Saccharomyces cerevisiae S288C: one gene and its partner. Changing the gene in region 2 together with the main gene of any one other region gives a genetic interaction. Each region holds a gene or a part of one and is shown on either strand. Other genes may lie near its edges.

Region 1 (2,513 bases), on a different chromosome or scaffold from region 2:
GCGTTGTGTCAGGTATTGAATGCTGTGATTGGTTGGGCAAAGTGTTTGGAGTCACCCTGGTGTACAATTTGGAACCTAACTGTGGCTGGCGGTTAACCTTAGCCAGGCTGCTGGTGGGCCTACCGTGCGTTGTTATCTGGAAGTACGTGATCAGCAAACCGATGATCTACACGTTATTGATCAAAGTTTTCCATCTGAAGGATGACAGAAACGTTGCGGCAAGAAAAAGACTGGAGGCCACGCACAAAGAAGGTGCAAGCAAGTACGAATGTCCATTATATATTGGAGAGCCCAAGATTGACATTCTAGGTAGATTTATTATCTATGCTGGCGTTCCATTCACCGTTGTAATGTGCAGCCCCGTCCTATTTTCCCTCTTAAATATAGCATAAAACAAAAGGAACAAAAAAAAAAAAATAGACAAAATGTAGTGTAAATGTATCCGTTTCTAAATTAAGTACTTATAAAAAAATATGTAACTGAAAAAGTCATGTTGTATAAAAATTTGAGGCACCGTACCAGGACCCCAAAAGAAGAATAGGTTAAAGTCATCATCATTAATAAACCAGGAAAGAAAAGAGCATAATTAAGATACGCCTACAACTTTGGCGCGTGAGCCAAGTGTCTTCTGGTAGCTAGTGAGGCACTCAAGGGACCATATGTCTTGGCATTTTCTCTATATTCCTTAAAAGAGTTGAACGAGTTGCCCGGAGATCTCTTGAAAATAGTGCTGGCCATGGCGCTAGCGGCTATCCTTGAGACACCCGCGGAGGCGGCTGAAGAAGAGACGGCGGCGGCTAATCTGGTACTTTGGGCGATCATTTAATACGTTTATTTACTGTCTTATGAATGTAATATTTAAACTTGTGCGTAATCATTAAAACAAAGGTGAAAAATCACATTAAACATCTCCCTACATTACTTTCGGTTTATTCTTTTATATGTGTGAAACTTTCTCTCTGCACCAGGAAGTGGTCATGCTTGATGCTCGGCTCCCACCGGAAAAACTAACTTGCGGGCGGGAAATTGATCCCTGAAGTCATGCCCCTCACCTTCATTCGTGGATCTTATCTCCAGAGCAACCAAATGTGGAAATGGCATGACACCCCCCCACACACGTTCCGCCCACTTTTTTTCAAATGTGTGACACACCCATACCCCATAATGTTGCACGTGACAGGTTTGTATCACGTGCTTCTTAGGGTTTTGTTTTAGGTCTGAGACATTTTAGGGTTTTTTTTCATCAAGTCTAGATCGTTTGTAACGAACGATTGCTCCTTTTTTCTTTTTTTTTTGCTTTTTTTTTATACTCACCGTTTACTGTCATTATGTCTCTCGAGAAACTGGGCGTGTGTGCTAACCAAGACTGGATCACCTTTACATAGCACTTATTGCATTTCTTGGTGTTTCGTACCCTACAATTGACAAAAGTAATTTTGTCGTTCATTTCTTCATCGATTCTTTCCTCTTTCAACAACTTCCTTATTTTATCTTGGGATCGTAACTTCACTTAATTAATCACGATTCCCATATTCGTTAACACCTCTTAAGGTTTGCTGTAAATATATTTATGTTATAAAAAAAGAAGATATTATGGTAGAAAACTCGTCGAGTAATAATTCAACAAGGCCAATTCCAGCAATACCTATGGATCTACCCGATTATGAGGCGCTCCCCACCCACGCGCCATTGTACCATCAACTTATAGCGGGTGCATTTGCTGGTATAATGGAACATTCAGTGATGTTCCCGATAGATGCCCTTAAGACGCGAATACAATCAGCCAACGCGAAATCGCTGTCTGCCAAGAATATGCTTTCGCAAATATCTCACATCTCTACTTCCGAAGGAACTCTAGCCCTATGGAAGGGTGTTCAGTCTGTCATACTAGGTGCGGGACCTGCGCATGCAGTGTATTTTGGTACGTATGAGTTCTGCAAAAAAAATCTTATCGATTCGAGTGATACGCAAACGCACCATCCTTTTAAGACAGCTATCAGTGGTGCCTGTGCCACCACGGCATCTGACGCATTAATGAACCCATTCGACACAATAAAACAGAGAATCCAACTCAATACCTCGGCATCAGTATGGCAAACCACAAAGCAGATTTACCAATCTGAAGGTTTGGCAGCATTTTATTATTCTTACCCAACCACCCTAGTAATGAACATCCCATTTGCAGCATTTAATTTCGTCATATATGAATCATCCACAAAATTTTTAAACCCATCAAATGAGTACAACCCCCTCATACATTGTCTGTGTGGCAGTATCAGCGGATCGACATGTGCGGCGATCACAACACCTTTAGACTGCATAAAGACAGTACTGCAGATAAGGGGCAGTCAAACAGTTTCGTTGGAAATTATGAGAAAGGCGGATACTTTTAGTAAAGCAGCCAGTGCCATATATCAAGTTTATGGCTGGAAAGGGTTTTGGAGAGGTTGGAAACCAAGGATAGTGGCAAACATGCCGGCTACTGCTATATCATGGACAGCTTATGAATGTGC
Region 2 (3,051 bases):
AGTCACGTAGGATTAATGTCATCAATTTCATGAGTTGAGTGAAAGTGCAACTTTACAATGTAGTCAACATACTGCACCGTCATCATTACATATTTCAGATTAAGGGTGATAATGCCGCTTTCATAATTCCTATTGAAACCTTGTATTGGCATATGATACTTCAGGAAGATGTGTTCGGCAATCGTTGCTTTTACTTCGGTACTCTTGACAGATTATGTCATTTATTCGCACCAGTAAGGATGTAGCTCTTGTCTTCTGTAGCCGAATTATCGAAGTTAATGAATAATATTACACACAGCTACAGTTTCAGGAAAAATATGAGACGAGTCGCAAATAAGCGGCCATTGTATACATTATGACAAAGTGAGTGTGATAATTACTGCATGGCCCAATGCATGAAAATATGGGTCAACTTGTACCACATTTGCTACAAATGGACGATAACTGAACTGGGCATAAACAAAATTACTTTTTCCTCGATTTTAGTCCTGCTGATTGAGCTAATAATACATAGCTCGCATGTAATTAATGTTGATATATTAAACTAATAAATAGCACATAACTTATTAATGTAAATTCTAAAGTTTTATATTTGTTTACACCGAAAAAGTACAACTGAGTTCCAAACGTGACAAGGTAAGTTCTGCATCATTCTCACATCAATCTTCAACTAAAGTCCAAAATTTCTAAAAGATTTCGCTTGTCTCGTTCTACCGCTGCCACAAGTGTGTTGTCCTTAAAACTAACGTTCCAAACATTATCAGCACCACTCAATGTATCTGAACGGACTAACAGCCCACTATTTAAATCATAAATATTGAGCAAACCTTCAGATCCACTCACTAATACCTCATCAGAAACGTGCAATGCGGTGATTGTATTCAACTGCGTGTGATCGAAAAAGTGCTTCAGAAAGTAAGTGTTAGCGTCCCAACACCTTATTGAACCGTCTACAGAAGCACTGACTAAAAATTTATCGGATAATCCCAATAAACCGACTAGGGCTCTGTGACCCCGCAAAGTGTACATAGCACCAAGTATTTTGGCGCATGGCGATGCTGAATTTGTTGCGTAGGAACATTCTCCATTATTCCTTATATTTTCCAAATCCCAAATTCTAATAGTGGTATCCATACTGGCAGAGATGCACCTTTTTCTTTCATGATCGTAGATTGTCGAATAAATACGATCCGTATGTCCACTCAAGATATATAGACATTTCATTTGCGCAACATCCCACACAATCAATGTATTATCATAGGAGCCACTAATGGCAATATTACCGTGGCCTGAGACAGTTCTTACAGTCGCCGTATGTCCTCTTAAAACACCAACAAAATATGGGTTCTCCTCAGGGGTATGAAAGACTAATGGATAATCATGTTCTTCCCCATGATCAGGAACGGAGGACTCCTTGGGCAATTTCCAAACGTGCAAAGTGTTATCTCTCGAACCAGTAACAATGTACTTGATATTTTTATATTCTACTATATCTAGGCACCTCACCGTAGAGTTATGACCTTTAAACACATGGGTACAACAACCTTTCTTAATATCTCAAACTCGCACCGTTCTGCCTGTAGAACCGCTGACTAAAATACCGCCATGGGCATACTTCAATGCCCAAACCTCACCATCATGACCTGATAGTTGTAAAAGAAATCTTTTATTTACTAAGTTATAAACTCTGATCGTTTTATCACATCCTCCTGTAATGACATAATTATCTTCAACTTGCAAGCACGCAATAACACTCGTCATATGGCCACTTAACGTGGTCCTTTGAGGTGTATAATCAGGATCAAACAAATTTACCAAAACAGACATTTCAGACACAACTTCCAGTACTTTATTAAAGCTTCGCAGATAGACGTTCTGATATAATTCCAAGGTAATAGAAAGCGATTGCTGTTTAAGTTGAACATGGTTTGCATTGATTTATTTAAACTTCGGGTAAATTGCTGGCTGCAACTTTCATTTAGACGAAAATGCAAAATCAATTGCCCCTTGTTGATAGCTTTAAGTGGAAGCCGTTGACTAGGTTTTAACGGGAGTGTGACTCCAAATGAAAAAATTATTGAAAGCTAAGATTATTTTGCACTATGACATTCTCGATAATCCCTTGGAAAGATTTAAGTGATTAGTCCGAGTACCGATATGGTTGAGAATCAAAGGTTTCTTTTCACAACGGTGACCCCACCATTTGAAAAAAAAAAAAAAATGAAAACGATGGCAACGCCCTTATCTGGCGTGGTTATTACCATAGAAAAGTTTATTCAATGTTTTTGTTATTCTCACTGACACAGACAGCATTTTGGAATATTGCATTCCTAACATATTGCTACATTAGCAATTGAAAGGGCAGTCGGAACTATCACGTAGTTTGAAAATGTCTTCCCGCTTAGCTCATTATGCATAAGCTTGTGCACGGCGTCATGGTCCATTTACTGTACATGGTAAGAAAGTTTTATTCCACCTACACTGATGTTGGCTGGTATGTTGATGGTTTTTGATAATTCACGTGTAATTAAGAACATCGAAACACTATCTGATGTATTTTTTATTGTTGAAATTTCTGACTCGTTTACAACCTACAAGCCCATACTGAGCTAAGTTTGCCATGTGCCCATCTATCTGTATTCGTGTCGAATCGGAAAATTATTATGGTACTTTTGTGTTGGAGATGGACAATAGAACGGTATGATGAGGCTTTGGTATTTTCATTTTAACAAGTGAATTTGAGAATTGGGTGATTTGTGATTATATTTGGGTGCACTGTTGGAAAAGGCTATAATATTACGCATACAGGATATACTGGTAGCATGAATACTACCCCAAATGGATGATATTTTAGGGTTTCATTGTAACAGATATCGGTGGATGTGTTCTTATTTTTATATGTCTCTGATAGTGGTTCTTTTTTGGGAAATTCATAATGATAGGCACTATGGCCGAGTGGTTAAGGCGACAGACTTGAAATCTGTTGGGCTCTGCCCGCGCTGGTTCAAATCCTGCTGGTGTCGTTTTTTTTATTGTTAGAGGTGCCTTGAA

Evidence for each region. A genetic interaction does not mean that the proteins touch.
Region 1: mutations in RRT13 (region 2) and DPI8 together harm fitness more than expected from each alone (negative genetic interaction), as found in Saccharomyces cerevisiae (one large-scale study listed by BioGRID).

The regions. Positions count from the first base shown.
Region 1 is NC_001142.9:159,026-161,538, forward strand, and holds DPI8 (Dpi8p), read right to left. Parts: upstream 823-2,513; coding exon 598-822; downstream 1-597. Other genes in the region: sphinganine kinase LCB3, read left to right, coding at 1-392; MRS3 (Fe(2+) transporter), read left to right, coding at 1,594-2,513.
Region 2 is NC_001137.3:288,415-291,465, reverse strand, and holds RRT13 (Rrt13p), read right to left. Parts: upstream 1,225-3,051; coding exon 667-1,224; downstream 1-666. UniProt on the Saccharomyces cerevisiae protein: May be involved in the modulation of rDNA transcription.